2 linked regions of the Struthio camelus genome follow. The protein of the gene in region 2 interacts with the protein of the main gene of each other region in a pairwise test. Links are inferred from orthologs where the notes say so. Each region holds a gene or a part of one and is shown on either strand. Other genes may lie near its edges.

Evidence for each region.
Region 1: the proteins of BAG4 (region 2) and ALG13 interact in binary tests that used the Homo sapiens proteins (3 or more experiments, as listed by UniProt). The link is inferred for Struthio camelus from reciprocal best matches to the Homo sapiens genes BAG4 and ALG13.

The regions. Positions count from the first base shown.
Region 1 is NC_090952.1:8,239,247-8,247,426, forward strand, and holds the start of ALG13 (UDP-N-acetylglucosamine transferase subunit ALG13), read right to left. Parts: upstream 3,211-8,180; 5' UTR 3,098-3,210; coding exon 3,017-3,097; intron 2,057-3,016; coding exon 1,894-2,056; intron 1,634-1,893; coding exon 1,495-1,633; intron 1-1,494. UniProt on the Homo sapiens protein: Catalytic subunit of the UDP-N-acetylglucosamine transferase complex that operates in the biosynthetic pathway of dolichol-linked oligosaccharides, the glycan precursors employed in protein asparagine (N)-glycosylation.
Region 2 is NC_090968.1:7,092,909-7,100,869, reverse strand, and holds the start of BAG4 (BAG family molecular chaperone regulator 4), read right to left. Parts: upstream 3,045-7,961; 5' UTR 3,030-3,044; coding exon 2,907-3,029; intron 2,835-2,906; exon of another isoform or gene 2,664-2,834; coding exon 2,553-2,663; intron 2,142-2,552; exon of another isoform or gene 2,005-2,141; coding exon of another isoform or gene 1,940-2,004; intron 1-1,939. Other genes in the region: G protein-coupled receptor kinase 5-like, read left to right, coding at 3,433-3,478, 5,230-5,298. UniProt on the Homo sapiens protein: Inhibits the chaperone activity of HSP70/HSC70 by promoting substrate release. Prevents constitutive TNFRSF1A signaling. Negative regulator of PRKN translocation to damaged mitochondria.

The sequences.
Region 1 (8,180 bases), on a different chromosome or scaffold from region 2:
CTCAGCTCTAATTTTTTATCTTCGGTGGCTGCAAGCAACGTTGGGAGACTGAATAAGGTTTGAGGATCGCTGCCATAAACTGTATTAGGAAATTCATCCTATTTCAACACATAAGTAACCACTTAACACATAGCCAGAAAAGACAGCTAAATCAATCCATTAGCTTGCAATTTTCAGACTGCAAATAAGGCTGAAAAGCTAAAATACTGTTCAACAAAGAAATAAAAATCCCTTCCTACCTCTGAAGTGGTCAGAAGCACTGAGAAAATAAGTTTAAGAAACTGGCCTAATGTAAATTAATGAAAGGTCTGGTCTTTTTGGAAGGCTCTTCTGAAACAGAATCCTATTTGCAGGGCAAAGGAACAAGATGCAGACTAAATAATGTGAGGTGCATTTCCCCTACCTTCAATTTAAAGGTCATCTATTATTTATGGAGTGCCATAAATCACATTCATGAAGAGAAATGGGAAGATACAGTTGAAATAAAGGAGCATCAAATGAAACTAACAGGGCCCAGGATCAACAAACAAAAAGGCCTTTTTTTGTCTAAGTGGCATGCAGTAGATCTGTCAAACTCTGTCAAAGGATGTTGTGGATGCCGGAAGTTTGGTTAAGAGAGTAGCCTGAGTAAGTACTTGGAAGACAGATGTAATGAAAGTTACTAACCAACCAACCAACCAACATCTAATTTAGGAAAACCCTGAAGCATTAGGGTATTAGAAGGAAAGTCATAGAAGAGAGTCCCATTTCCTGTTCTTACTTTTTGCTAGGTATCTGTGTATGGCCACTGCACACACGTTACTGAGCTATATAGCCTCCTGAGTTGAATCAGTAAGGCCGTTTTCATGTTTTGTTCTAAATACTCGAGACGCATAGATATAATAAAAAATGAAGGTATCCATACAGTCATCTCTAGTGCCCCTCACAAAGAAAACCCACATAGAACTCCGTTTTTTTCATTTTACTAAGTCTGCAGGGAGCAATATATTTCTTATAGTTCATGGTTGGGAACTAGGCAGTATTATTTCTAGCTTTGAGAAAGAATTAAGAGGTGAGAAAGGGAGGGCAGAGTAAGAGAGGAGTTGTTAGGTACCCCTAGGATGCCACCTGACAGTTACCTGTCACTCAAATTCAACCATGGTTTAGACTGCTTTTTTTATTTTTTTTAAACTGGAAACATGTGACCTCAAAATAAAAGTTACATTAAAATTAATCTCAGACAAAAGGCTTGGTAGATTTGGTGGAGACAGCACCAACTGTTGATCTATCTACTATGGAAAAACATGCCTTGCAAACAAACAAAAAACTAGCTTTCCTGAAATGTCTGTCCTGCCCTTACTACTTAGGTGGGGAAGTTAATTGTGGTATTTGGTCAATGTGATTTTGTTACAGAGAAGGATGTGAATTTACTTATTACGTTCTCAATACTGTAATGACCAAGCTACGGTACTGAATACCTCTTGTTCAGTCAGGATCACCACAGCTGCTTCATACCTGCAATTACAATAGAGGACATGTCCATCTCTGTGGAGTTGCTTTGCCAATTCAAGCTGATGGTTGTTCATCAGCTTTTCGTTTATTACTACTATTAGTGGTTTTCCTTCTTCTAGCGTCTCCAAACAGCTACCTGCACCTACAGAAGAAACAAAAAACATGATCAGTGCTTTCACCTATAGATCAAACTTCATCCTACTGGCTCTTGCAACATGAGAGACTCCTGAACCTGAGCATTTAATCCATTTAACTCTAGCTGTGGACCTGAACTTTTAATGCTAACAGAGTCAGAGAATTACAGAAACGGAAGCTGCCCACGCTACCGACTTTCACATCTACCCACACGAGAACAGGCTTGGCAAACTCTCTGCACGGCACTCAGCTGCCAGTGCGCTCTACCTGCATGGCTTATGACCAGGTCTGCTCTCCGCAGGTCCTCAGCCAGCGAGTCCTTGAAGCGGAAGGCCTCTAGCGTGAAGGCCGGGGTGCTCACCGGGGCCGGCTCCTGCACCCCGTGGCCGATTTGGAGGACCAGCTTGCGGTACCCGTGACTCTGCAGCACCTGCGGCAGGAGGGAGAGCGGCAACAGTGCTCAGCAGCGAGCCGCAGAGCGGAGCACCTGTGGTGGGGCTGCCCCTGGTGGGCACCTGGTTGGGCTGACCCCAGCTCTGCTCCTGGGTACCCCATGGCACAGGGCCACTGCCATGGCCAGGGGGCACACGCCACCCCCTGCCTCATGCTTTATAGCCCCCCCAAGTCCCCCTGCCTCACAGCCCCTCCAAATCCTGCCTTGCCTTACAGCCCCCCTAAATCCCGCCTTGCCTCATAGTCCCAAGTCCCCCTAAATCCTGCCTCATAGCCCCCCAATCTTGCCTTGCCTCACAGACCTAAATCCTACCTTGCCTCATAATCCCCCTAGATCCCACCTCACAGCCCCCAAATCCTGCTTTGCCTCACAGCCCCTCCCAAATCCTGCCTCATCTCACAGCCCCCCAAATCCTGCATTTCACAGCCCCCAAATCTTGCCTTGCCTCATAGCCCCCCCCAAACCCCGCTTTGCCTAACAGCCCCCTCAAATCCCACCTTGCCTCATAGCCCCCAAATCCTGCTTTGCCTCACAGCCCCCCAAATCCTGCTTTGCCTCACAGCCCCAAATCCCGCCTCACAGCCCCCAAATCCTGCCTGGCGTCACAGCCCCCCCAAATCCCACCTCACAGCCCCCTCAAATCCCACCTCTCTCCTCACAGCCTCCCCAAATCCCATCTCTCTCCTCACAGCCCCCCCAAATCCCGCCTCACAGCCCCCCAAATCCCATCTCTCTCCTCACAGCCCCCCCAAATCCCGTCTCTCCCCTCACAGCCCCCCAAATCCCGCCTCTCTCCTCCCCGCCCCCCGCCGGGGTCGCCGGCCCCAGGGCGGGCGGGGGAGCGGGCCCGCAGTGCGCGTGCGCCCGGCGGCCCGGCCCGACCCGGCCCGGCGCGGCGGGCGGAGGCCCAGGCCAGAGGGCTCGGCGCTGCCTCACCCGCACGGCGGCTGGCGAGGAGGCGGCGGCGATCAGCTCCTCGAAGCTGGTGGTGCCCACGGTGACGAACACGGACTTCATGGCCGGCGGCAGGGCCCCGCCGCGCCTAACCGTGCGGCCGGCGAGGCAGGGGGAGCGGCGGCGGGGGAGGGGGGCCGCCAGGGGGCGCCCGGTCCCGCCCCGCCGCTGCCGCGGAGCGGACAAAATGGCCGCCGCGCTGAGGGGCCTGGGCGGCGCCGTCCTCCCCCCCCCCCCCCCCCCCCCCGCGATGGCGGCGGGCTGCACTGGGAGCTTGCTACTGTCCCCTCTCGCTAGCTACTTTGTCTCCTTCGGTTTCCTTCCCTGAGTTTCCTCTGCGGTGAGGAGGAAGCAGCCCCCTCCGCGGGAGAAATCGCCGCAGCTCTTTAAGGCCGGTTCTTTATCAAAAAAAGAAGATCGAGAACGCAAATTTTTTTTTTTCTTAAAGCAAGAAAACACCAAGATGGCCTTTTTCTTAAATGTCTTTTCTCACGAGAACTGATTAGCCCAGGAGGCTCGGGTTAACGCGGCTGTAGAGCTTCTGGGGCCCGCAAACCGTACCGGGTATGGCCCGCGCCCGCTTGCCCTGCTCCCTGGGCAAATCTGCTGCCGCTCGCTCGCCTGAAGGAAAATCTGACTCGTTTATTTTTAACCGTTGCAGTTGCGCACTAGGAAGACGTTTCTGAGGTTGAAGCAGGGTAACGCAAGCCCTGCTGCGTGCTGGTGTCAGTCCCGACGGCAGCCGGGACCCGGCGGCAGCCTGCCTGGCGCCCGGAGAGCTGGGACCCCTCGGGGTGGTGGGGCAAGAGCTGCCCAACCCCAGGAAGGCTGGCACAGTGGCAGGGTCCCCGCGGGACCGTTTGAGACGTGCTGTAAGCGAAGGAAGCAAAAGGTACCTAGGGCAGGCGGTCTAGGACCGAGACAAGAAAATAAGGCGAGGAAACTGAGGGAGGACAGAAGCAAAAAGACCAGAGTTCCTGTCACCATCATCTGCCGACACTTAAACTGCCTTATTTTTTACAATATGCTTTTGCTGAACTGGTCACCTCAACCTATTCCTTTCCATTCCGCTTTTCTCCTTACAGCCTTGCCACATGTGAAAGTCACAAGCCAAGCCATAGAAAATCAGGGTATCAGGAGTCCTTAAGAAATACTTGCAGAGTGCTTTCTCTTGGCTTTATGCTGTCTGGGCCTGTTAATTTCCACTGTAATTCTGAGGACTAGGAAAAAAAACCCTGAAATTCTCAGGTAATCTCTTGATACCAACTGCTGGGGCCTTATTCAAATATATTGTTTATTTTAACACTAGTCTCATGACTCACCAAAGCATCACAAAGGGGTGGTAGTGTATGAGTAGTCAGTCATGTTTTGGAGGCAGGATGGATGTTTCATACCTCTGATGCCCGAAGCAATGCCACATGGCACCTGTAATGGTGGCCCACTGGTGATGGGCCTCACTGGGGCATACCCTTCCCTTCCAGGAGCCCAGCTGCACTGCTGCCACAGCTGGTCAGCAGATCACCTGTGGATATGAGTCATTTTAAAATACTCACTTTAAAAAGCAAATTCTGAAAGTCATTTAAATACTTGTGTTCCTCTCCTACCCTTGCCTTTTGAAAGATACGTGCTCAGCATCACTGAATACAATAAGGTTCCCACTCCTCCCTACTGCCCTTTAAGTACACATTTTTCTGATGCTGTTTCAGGCTGATCTTCCCACCTGTTACAAGGACTGAGGAAACATGCTGCCATGGGCAAGAGCTTATCAACTCCCAACATGACACCATCCCAAGAGCTAAGGAACAGGGAATCAGAGAGGAGCTGAGGTGGGAGGTGAAGGTTTCTTCTGAACAAAGCAGCGTGCAGTGTTAAGCCACCTTAAATCAATAGCAAAGACGAAGTCACCAGCAAATTTCTCATCTCAGGTACGTTTCCCCTTTGTGATGAAAACCCTGCAGTGTTGTAGTTTCAAAGTGAGACATCACATCTGATAACACATGATCTTGGCCACTGAAGGACATAATAATCCTTTACCAGTTGCACAAGCTGAACCAGAAGCGTTAAGTGTAAAGCAACATATTTTTTGACAGAAACTACTCAAATTAGACATCTAAACATACTTATTCTTTGAATTAGATTTAATAGATGAGGTTGCATCTACATTTATTGCTGATTGTACAAAGAAAGAGGCAGAAGAGATTTAGCACTCTTAAGGATACTTCTAATTGCCATGTTAATGGCTCATTCACAGTGCTCATTAGCCCCCTATTGTTTTCATTTGACATAATGAGCCACACTGAAACTCATTTATTGTTGATAAAAGCAAGTAATGCTGACAGCAGGATTGGGGGGGGGGGGGGGGGGGAAGGAAGAGAGGTAGTATCTGATTTTGGGAGATATGTTGTGGAGTAAAACCGATGTCAGGGCCCTAAGAATCCAATAGGCCTCAGCAGCCCTCACTAGCCTTGTCCTACCCTTGCTGCTCCCTAAGGGCAGGTGAGCTGGGAGCAGAGCATGGCCAAAACACAGTCCAGGAAACAACATCATCAACAGGTGCAATTCCACAGCGCCAGAGGCAGGTGAGGAGGGCAGGGTGGTGACAGCAAACAGGTCCTGCCAAAGGCAATGCAACAGGCCAGGTCTAAGGTCCATCCAGGAAATCCAAGCAGCAACTCAGGACCAGGGTTAGGAGAAAATGCACCTCTGATGCAGCTCAGCAGGGAACGAGGGCCCAGCTTGGGAGTGAGTGGAGGCCCCAGGTGAGGCTGGTCAGGGCAATTAAAGCCAGTAAGTGCTCTCAGGGCCCTGACAGCTGATGGATATAGGAAGATTTTGGAATGAAAAGACGGATGCTAGGTTTATCAGGTGTGACAGAGGAGGGTTAACACATCAATAAACCTTTCTGAGAAGAGATAAGGACAGCTATTGAAGAAATGTTTTAAATAAAAAAAAATTAGGATAGAACTTAATATGTTGGAATGTGTTCCTGTCTTTGTCATTAATTTATATTAAGCTAGGTACTGTGGTTTAGCAAATTACTGCTCCTTTGTAGCTGGGGTGCAATAACTCACCATGTGCATGCTATTTTTCTGCCCAAATTGCAAAATAAACTCACCATTACGGTGAGTTAAGTTCACGCATTCATTTTGCAGTTAGCTCAGGTTTACAGTGTTTGTACCTCAGCTGTGACCTTGCTTTCAGCCATCCACTCATAGCTTGAAGTAAGGCACTCTAAAGAAAATGCTCCATGCATCAGCAGCCAATTGTACTGTCGTTATTTGTTCTCTCAAACTTCAGCAGAGTAAAATATGTATTTAGAAAAATGAAGCGGAGTAGTCTTAGTCTTTCTAACCCTCGTGTAAGAGAGAAACCGTAGTACAGGCCCCATGGTACTGTGTGTTAAATTCTTATATCGAGGTTTACTATGATAATTAACGTCTATGTAGAGGAAAATTTACTCCTCCAGTCAACGGGTGTCTGTTTTGTGGTATATTCTAAAACCTGCTCAATGATTCTTGTCTGTGCTTTAAGGAAGTCACAATTTAAACAAAGCATGGAGCTTGTTAGGAGTATTGCATATTAGGTAACAGTAAACCCACACTGCTCAAGAAAAAAAAAAGCAAACTGGCTGACCTCTTCTTACTCTTAAGAAGTGTTTTGGACTAATTTCATGTTGATGTGTTCCAGCTTCTGTCTTATCAAAGCACTGTTCAAAGTGAGGAGAGCTTGCTGCTCTTCTCCTTCCAAAATGTAGTAGGCCTGATTGCAAAACAGCACAGTACTTCCAATTTCAAGGAGAATTTAGCATGCTCAGCAGTTTGTAAAACCAGGCCTAATCTCACTAGCCTGTCAAATGGAATCTGTCCTCCAGTTTACTTATTCAAAAAAGTCCAAGAGTGATGGCCTGTCAAGAGGGAGCCCTTCTTACACTTCATCACTTTTAGTACTCCTTGTGGAAGATGTTAAATACAGTGCTGTTTGCAAGAAGGGTTGATACAGCTACCTGGTTGTTGTAAACATGCTCAGAAAGGAGAAAGGATTATAAATACAAGAAAGATTTCATGCCAACAGGAGCCACAGCTGTCTTAAAATACTATATGTCCCGGATCATGGAACAGCAGGTTTTACATTTGATTCTTTTGACTTTTAATTGCATGAGTGCTGAATTTCACTTCTGTAGGATCCTGTTCTACTCATTTGCTTTCTAGAATAAAGAAAATTTAGAAATCACTGGAATGGTTGTCGGAACATGAGGACTGCCAGAAGGCCAGAGATTAAAAGAACGCAGTATGGAGCAGGTATGTGTGATTCCAGCGTGGTATTTTTAATGTATCACTGAAAGTCAGTGTCCTCTGCAGTTTGCACTCCCAGCATCATGCTGTCTAGGGAACAGAAGAACAAAATTCCTGCAAATAATTTTGTAGTGACTAAGATGTGCATTGGAGTTTTCACTGAAAAACGGAGGATACGTTCCATTTGCAAATTGAATTAGGTTTGCTAGGGTGATTTTAACCTAAAGAGGAAAGGGGATGCCATCCATTACCTCATACTAATTTGCGCTTGCTATTTTACTCAGAAGTTTTGTAGAGCATAGGTGGAATTTTTCCTGTGAGCGCTTATTCTCTGATCCATGAGAACTACTGGTCATTTAGACTCTTGGTGTCTGTAGAATGAGATACTTGAAGCTGATGCCTGCAGTTCAAAGGCAGTTAAAGATCAGGTAATCCCAATTTCATATCATACCTTGTTCCTGGCCATTCATTCCTGCCCCTGCCCTTCTGCTTCTACAGATGCTTGTACAACTACACAGTGATTCAGTTCATAGAGCTGATCTGAGAAAGCAGTAGTTTATTTGGTGTTGGATCTGTTCCCTGAGTTGCACAAGCATGAAGATTAGCACAAAGAAGGAGACAGGATCCTAGCACCGTGGACTTAGATTGGCTTAAATGCTGGGGAACTGCACCTATGTCTGCCTGTTTGTGCCATTAGTAGCTGGGATTGCATTTGCCAAGCCACGTGGCTCAGGCAGCTGTGTGGCCTAGCCTGTGAGGCAGAGCTTGTGCAAGCCAGTCCCCAGTTGGGCTTGAGAGTCTGTTTATTTGCTGCACCAGTTGTTTCACTCCAGGGCATATATGTGTACTGGGAA
Region 2 (7,961 bases):
GCTGGGAACCAGCTAGCTCACAAGACCATTTTCCTCTTGCATTTTCCTCCTTCCTTTTCTCAAAAAATGTGGGTATCTCTCAGCACTCTCACAAAAGCTTTACAAACGTGCAGCCAAAATACCTTTGTGTGCATCTTCTGTCCTTGCCTCTAACAAACACCAACAATAGCCTTTTCCCACTTCAGCTGCGGATTCTCGCTGAAGAAAGGCAAGCTGAGCCTTCCCCATCTGTTCTCTGTCCTGGCATCCTGTCCCTCCTACTCAAAGGCATCACCAGGGCTCAGCACTGGTCCCCATCTCTTTGCAGTCCAAAGAGAACTCCACTAAGGACACAGACCTCCAGCAGGCAGCATCTGGCCTGCTCGTCCCATTTTTGGGGATCAGGCCATAACTGATTCAGTCAGGCCGATTCAGTCTGTGCCATGCTCCAGCTTTCAGCTGTTAGATTTAACTAGGTCAATTTAGTCACTGATTGAAACTGATTGGTAGATGAAAAACGCTCCAGGGAAGTTCATTTCCTTTTTCAATCTACAAACAGAAACAATCCAAGATGACTAGATCTACTCGCCTTGAGCCTAAGGAACAAGGCAGTCGGATCACTAAGCTGCAGATATGGCTGCCGCAGTAGAAACAGTCAAATTTGTGAGAACTTTTTATAGGCAATATCTGTATGTCCAGAGCATTTATGGTAATTTATTTGAACATATTTGAGTACTTAATTTATACTGAACATAAGTGTCTGAGCTATGGTAAGACGGAAGCTCAAGTGTTAGCATTTCAGCAGCTCACTGACAGCTCCCTAGTAGCTTTGGGCTTCAGTTCTTTGCCTGTGAGCTGTTTCATAAAGGAGAGACCGGATCACCTGCTCCAGGACTTAGAAACCAGCTAAAGCAAACCTAAACGTCACATAGAATTAGAACAAACCATAGTTACGTCTGTACAACCAGCAGACGACCTCTTTGGAAAGAGTAAAGCCCTTTTCTTTGCACGATATTTGTGCAATGGTCCCTAAAAAAAAAACACTACTGCTGCATTCAGAACAACAAATAATAAATCCCAGGAAGAGTGAGTCACGGGACATAAAGGGAACATGTAAGCTTTTTTTCCTCTTCCTCTCTTCCTGCAGCAGGAGCAGCTAACTCGTGCCTGCCCTCTACCTGGGGTCAGACACGTGATGTAAATCGTGCCATCCTGCAGACTGCCAATTCCTTCCCAGGGATGAGGTTGACCGTACACATATCACTGTCTGTGCAGCTGACATCTTTAGTTTGCTGTGCCTTTAGGTGTCGGGCATTAGATTCCCGAGTTCCACATTCACATCGGAGAACAGACAATTCTGTTTCTCGATAAAGAATCTATTAGTTGGGACCAGTGTATGCATTACATGGTGATTCCCAATTCTTACCAGTCATCTCCTGGCAGCAGACAAATCAAGGATGGCAGCGTTGCCCCAGCAGTCTCTTCATTAAAAAAATATATATATAACTTAAAAATTTCACCTTGACCTGGATATTAAGATAAAACTTTCTACCCTGTTCATCGTCTTCCATTTTCTTCAATTAAAAACACCTGCCCCAAACCAGCAGAACGGGAGACCAGATTCTTATTTAATGCAAAATGGTTTGCACATGAAGCTACAAGACCATTAAAAAAAAAAAAAAAACACAGTTACACTTAAAGACATAAGACATGAACTTAAAAATCCAGACAGTCTGGCACAGCTAGATAACATTATGATTCAGCGTCAAGAATGCTTTGAAAGTAACAGGTAATTTCTGGGTAGGGTAGAATCTTCAAGTTGGTCCTAACACTGCTCATAACTAGATGGCAGAAGAACGAATCTGTTTATTTCTGTGAGCTGAGAAGATTCAGAGGCCACCCACGCGCAGAAGGGAGCACAGGAGTTGCAGCAACATTGAGGGCAGACAAGGCATCTCACCAGCACGTAGCCGTGGGGGAGAGGACAGGGAGAGAAACCCGCGGAGCAGACCGAAGTGCCGCCATCCGGCAACGAAGCACGCTCTCGCTCCAAGCCCTGCTAACTCAAGGCGAGCAGGGCATTAGAGCCACGGATTTCCCAGCTCCAGCTAGTCACATCGCCTCTCTGCCAGGCCCCTCCTCTAGGCATAAGGCAAGAATGAGATCCGTGAGATCTCAGAGTCGTTTGGGGTCATTTCTCCAGTTATGGACGGGGGGGGGATCTGTGATGGGTGTCCGCAGGCTATGGACCTGACAGTGCTTTGTGCAGGAAGGGCCGGGAGCTGTCACCGCTTGCAGCACGCCGTTTGCTAGGGCGTTCCCGAGCGGGCTGCTAGCCTCCGTTCAGTACTTTGAAGCGCCAGTGCAGAGCATTACTGGAAGCTCCCGGAGCAAGGGGGAAAGGGCAAAGGGAGCCAAACGCCCTGGGACGTCTGCCGTGGGAGGCAACCGAGAGTCCCGGCTCCCGCTTCCAGCTCAGCCGGTCTCAGCCCCAGGCCTCCAGGCGTAGCCAGGCCTCAGCAGACACCTCGGGTTTCGAGGGAACCACGAGGGGAAGGTTTTCCTCGCCGTACCTGGCCTTGCCCGTCAGGCGCGGAGGGACAGGGGCTGGAGGCGTAGGCGGTTGGAGGCTGCGCGGCCGCGCTCCAGTAGCGGGGCGCGTACCCAGGGTACGGTGTCTGCTCCTAGAGGGCGGAAGGAAGGAGACTCGCTTTCTTGTAGCGGCGAGCGGGAGGCCGCCCCTTCCGGGAAGGGGGGCACGGGCGAGAAGCGGCGGCGGCGGCCCTGGCGCGCGGCGACCGCCCCGACGACAGGGCGCTCCGTGGCTGGCTCGCAGCGCTGGCGCCCGCCCGCCTGCCTCGCCCCCCGCCCGCTTCTCCCTCGCCGACCCTCCCCGGCGGCTCCCGGCCCCCGCCGCCCGCCGTTACCTGCGCGCCGCCCGGGCGCTCCCAGCCGCCGCCCCCCGCCGCGGCCGGCGGGCAGTAGGACCCGGGGGGCCACGACGGGCCCTGCGCGGCGCCGCGGCCCGGCGGGCACCCGCGAGGCTCCATGGTGGGCGCCGCTGGGGCCGCTACCGGGCCGGACGTCGCCGCCGCTACCGCGCCAATCGCCTCGCGGCGCGGCCGCAACACCCGCCAATGGGCGGCGAGCGCCCGCGGATATCCCGCCCGCCTCTCCGCCGGCAGCCAATGGGATGAGCCCCAAGGGCAGCGGCGGCGCCGCCCCCGGCGCGGCTTAAAGGGGCAGGGGCCGCGGGGGGCGCACCAGGCACCGGCGCCCCTCGCCCCCGCTCCCGCCCGCGGCAGGGCGGCCTGGCCGGGGGCGTGGCCGCGACGAGGCCCCGCCCAAGAGCGGGCGTGGCCGCGACGAGGCCCCGCCCGGAGGCGTGGCCGCGGGGCGGTTCCGGCGGCGCATGGCGGCGCTTCCGCTCGGCGCGGCGGCAGCGGCGGCACCATGAACTACATGCCGGGCACGGCCAGCCTCATCCAGGACATCGACAGTGAGTGTCGGCCGCCGCCCTCCGCGCCGCCCCCGCGGGGGGGAGACGGGAGCCCCCGGGCGGGGACCTCGTGTCGGGCGGGGGAGCCGCGGGTGGGCCCCGGCGTGGGGCGGGTGAGCCCCCCAGACCCCGCCGTGGGCACCGACCCCCCGTGGGTCGGCTGAGTCCTCTAGGGAGCCTCCTGTGGGCCTCCCCGGAGCCCCCCCGTGGGCACTGACCCCCCGTGGGTCGGCTGAGTCCTCTAGGGACCCCCCCGTGGGCCTCCTCAGACCCCCCCCGTGGGCACTGACCCCCCGTGGGTCGGCTGAGTCCTCTAGGGACCCCCCCGTGGGCCTCCTCAGACCCCCCCCGTGGGCACTGACCCCCCGTGGGTCGGCTGAGTCCTCTAGGGACCCCCCCGTGGGCACCGACCCCACGTGGATCGGATGAGTCCTGTAGGGAGCCCCCTGTGGGCCCCCTCAGAACCCCTCCGTGGGCACCGACCCCACGTGGGTCGGCTGGTTCCTCTAGGGACCCCCCCCGTGGGTACCGACCCCACGTGGATCGGATGAGTCCTGTAGGGAGCCCCCTGTGGGCCCCCCAGACCCCCCCCCGTGGGCACTGACCCCCCGTGGGTCGGCTGAGTCCTCTAGGGACCCCCCCGTGGGCCTCCCCAGACCCCCCCCCGTGGGCACTGACCCCCCGTGGGTCGGCTGAGTCCTCTAGGGACCCCCCCGTGGGCCTCCCTAGACCCCCCCGTGGGCACCGACCCCACGTGGATCGTCTGAGTCCTCTAGGGAGCCCCCCCGTGGGCCTCCCCAGACCCCCCCGTGGGCACTGACCCCCCGTGGGCTGGCTGGTTCCTCTAGGGACCCCCCCGTGGGCCCCCCAGACCCCCCCGTGGGCACCGACCCCCCTTGGGCTGGCTGAGTCCTCTATGGAGCCCCCTGTGGGCCCCCCATACTCTCCCCCGTGGGCACCGACCCCCCTTGGGCCGGCTGATTCCTCTAGGGAGCCCCCCGTGGGCCCCCCAGACCCCCTCCGTGGGCACCGACCCCATGTGGGTCGGCTGAGTCCTCTAGGGAGCCCCCCCGTGGGCCTCCCCGGACCCCCCCGTGGGCACTGACCCCCCGTGGGCTGGCTGGTTCCTCTAGGGACCCCCCCCGTGGGCCCCCCAGACCCCCCCGTGGGCACCGAACCCCCTTGGGCTGGCTGAGTCCTCTATGGAGCCCCCTGTGGGCCCCCCATACCCTCCCCCGTGGGCACCGACCCCCCTTGGGCTGGCTGATTCCTCTAGGGAGCCCCCTGTGGGCCCCCCAGACCCCCTCCGTGGGCACCGACCCCCCTTGGGCCGGCTGATTCCTCTAGGGAGCCCCCCGTGGGCCCCCCAGACCCCCTCCGTGGGCACCGACCCCATGTGGGTCGGCTGAGTCCTCTAAGGAGACCCGGGTGGGCCCCGGCGTGGGGTGGGTGAGTCCCCCAGACCCCCCCGTGGGTCAGCTGAGTCCTCTAAGGAGACCCGGGTGGACCCCGGCGTGGGGTGGGTGAGTCCCCCAGACCCCCCCGTGGGCCCCGACTCCCCGTGGGTCAGCTGAGTCCTCTAGGGAGCCCCCCCGTGGGTCCTGGCATGGGGTGGGTGAGCCCCACGTGGGTCGGGTGACCCCCCCCCAGACCCCTCCCGTGGGCCCCCGCTCGGTGGCCCTGGGGCTGCCCCCCCGCTGGGGCAGCGGTCAGCGCCGCCGCGGCTGAGCGGGCTCTGGGCTCTCTTTCAGAGAAGCACCTGGTGCTGCTCCGGGACGGCCGCACGCTGATCGGGTACCTGCGCAGCATCGACCAGTTCGGTACGTGTCGCCGGCCGCGCTCGGCTGCTTTCGCCGCTCCGTTTGCGGGGCGGTTGGGGGGGGGGGGGGGGTTGGCTTGGTCCGCGCTCAAACCTTGCTGCCAGCCAGGAGAGGAGCCGGCGCCTCCTGCCCCACGGCAGGAGCCGTTTCTGAGCAGTCCGTCCGCAGCCGGGGCACGCGCGGCACCGAGCTGTTTCCTGATTTTTGGATATGTTTCCAGAAAGAGCTTTAAAAACACTGTTTGGGGTTACAGAGAGAAAACAGAGGGGGGGACGTTTAGGTGGTTTTCTCGCTCGCGATGCGCCGTCTGCGCTCTGCATCAAACCCGGGTGTCCTTACTGGCGACTCGGCAGCCCTGAACGTGGTTTGTGCTGCCGCTCTGGCTTGTCGCTCGCCGCAAGGAGGAGCCAGGCCCCGGCGGGCAGGGTGCGCGAGGGGACGGGGCAGGGGACGCGTGGGGCTGACAGCAGGGTCCTGGGCCGGCGGTGAACTTGCAGGAGACACCAACGCTGGGGCTGTGCGCGGAGCAGAAGTTCAGCCGCGCTGCGCCTCTCTGCTAGGGCCGTTGGCAGGTGGTGCCTCTCCGCCCGTCCCCCGCTGCGTAGCGTCAGGACAGGGAAAATACGGCTGGCTGCCGTGTGAAAACGCAAGCGGAGTTTTTTGGTTCTGGCCCGAGTGAAGCTCTGCCGCTGTCTCCAGCCCTGCGGCCGTGCTGCAGCAGCTGTTTGGGCTCGTCCTCTTGCAGCGTTCGAGGGACCGGTCTCCAGGTGGAAACGTTTGCACCAGCTCTTCCTGAGAGTAGTGGTTTTTGCACGTTTGTGGTTCTGCGCGAATGCCCAAATCTGGCAAATTCCCTACTCTTTTCCTCCTCCTTGCCCCCACCAGAAAGGGCTTTGCAGGGGTGAGGCACCTGCCAGAGGATCCTCGTGGCAGAGCAGAGGCCTCTGAATCGGGCTGCGCGGCGCTAGGTGAGATCGGGAAGGCTGTCAAGGGAGCCGCACGCTTGCGTGTTTGGCTGAAACAAGGGAGAGGCGAAGAGTTTAGCCTGGACTTGGCGCGATCCAGGGCAAGTATTAGTTGTGTGTTCAGGGTCTGCTCTCCCTGTTCACTTAAACAGGAGTAAAATCAGCCCACGGTCTGGGAGCCTGGTCGCAGCGTGGGCTGTGTCTGGGTCAGGCAGACAATGCTTTTTGCATGTGCCAGTTGTGAGCAGAATTACATATTTCCTTGACTAAAAACAATCTTAAGTTCTAATGAAAAAGGTGCTTGCTGTGCATAGAATGATATGATTTGAAAGTCAAGCTTTAAAGCTTGTTTGTGTTGTGTTTTAAAAATTCACTTAGGTGTTCCTCTTCTATGGGAGCTGGCATTGTAAACATCCTTTCTGAGCATGTACCCCCTCTTGTTTATGCGAAGGGTAGCTGCAGGGTTTTTTTTTCCGGATTAGGCAACTTATTGCAAAAAACAGATTTACGAGGTCTCTGGCTTTATAGATAATGCATCTAACCTTGGTTGCTAATTGGAGAAGTATCTGTTCTCTGTCAATCACTGCGGTTTAAACAAATACATCAGATGTGATTTGGTGGTTTACTGAAACTTCTTGTAAAAGCTGTGTGGCTGTTTCCCTCCCCTCTGCTCCCCTTCCCTTCCCCTCCCCTCTGCTTCCCTTCCTCCTTCATGATTTTGTCAGATGTTAATTTGATGCTCTAACTTCTCTTCTTGTGAAATCAGCATTTGAGAAGTATCTCTCAACAGCCTGGGATTTTTGTGTTTTATGTCTGTGCTTAAGATAAAACGTCTTAGTCCTTGCCCCAGAATCTACGGCACCAAAGATAACATCGTTTTCCCCTTGGCCCTGACTCTCATGCTGTCAACACATGGTGTTTGGGTGAATAGCAACCCTATCAACAGTTTGAGTTTCCTGGTTCTGTTTCCGACGCTGCTGCTGCTGCTTCTCCCTGTTCTGAGCTTGCTTGTCCCATCTCTGTCCTGTGTGCACAGGCCGTAAGAAGGAGTCCCTGCCCTCAAGCTCCTGTTCTGCCCATGCTGCAGCTCCTAGCGCAAGGAACTGGGGTTTCAGCTGCTGCCTGGAGGTGGCTGTGTCGATTGCTAAAGCTGAAGTGCAGCAGCCGCGTTTCAGTAGGGGAGAAATCTGGTTCCTTTCATGGTCTGGTTCAAAGGATCTGCCAAGAAGCAGTGGAGGTGCTTATCAGTGACCATGCCATCTCAGCTGTGGGTGTGTTGCCTGGCTCAGATGAGATGTTCTCTTTAGCTAGAAACAAAGTGAAAGATGGATGTTTTCTTTTTCTCTTGATCGCTGCAGCAAACTTGGTGTTGCACCAGACTGTGGAGCGCATTCACGTGGGCAAGAAGTATGGGGACATCCCTCGAGGCATCTTTGTTGTGAGAGGCGAGAACGTTGTTCTGCTGGGGGAAATAGTAAGTAAGCAGCTCTTTCTGCCTGGCTCTCTTGTCTACTGCTGGCCTGGAGCAATGGCTCAGTTGTGGTCCAGGGTTAAATAGCTGGTGATATCTGTAGCTACAATTACTCCGAGCAGCACTGCCAACGGAGCTGGGTCTCTCCAGCCAGAGACAGCATGTGGATTTTTTCTGTTGCTCGTGGCTGAACCAGTGTCTGCTGTGAAATATTGCCACCCTCCTGC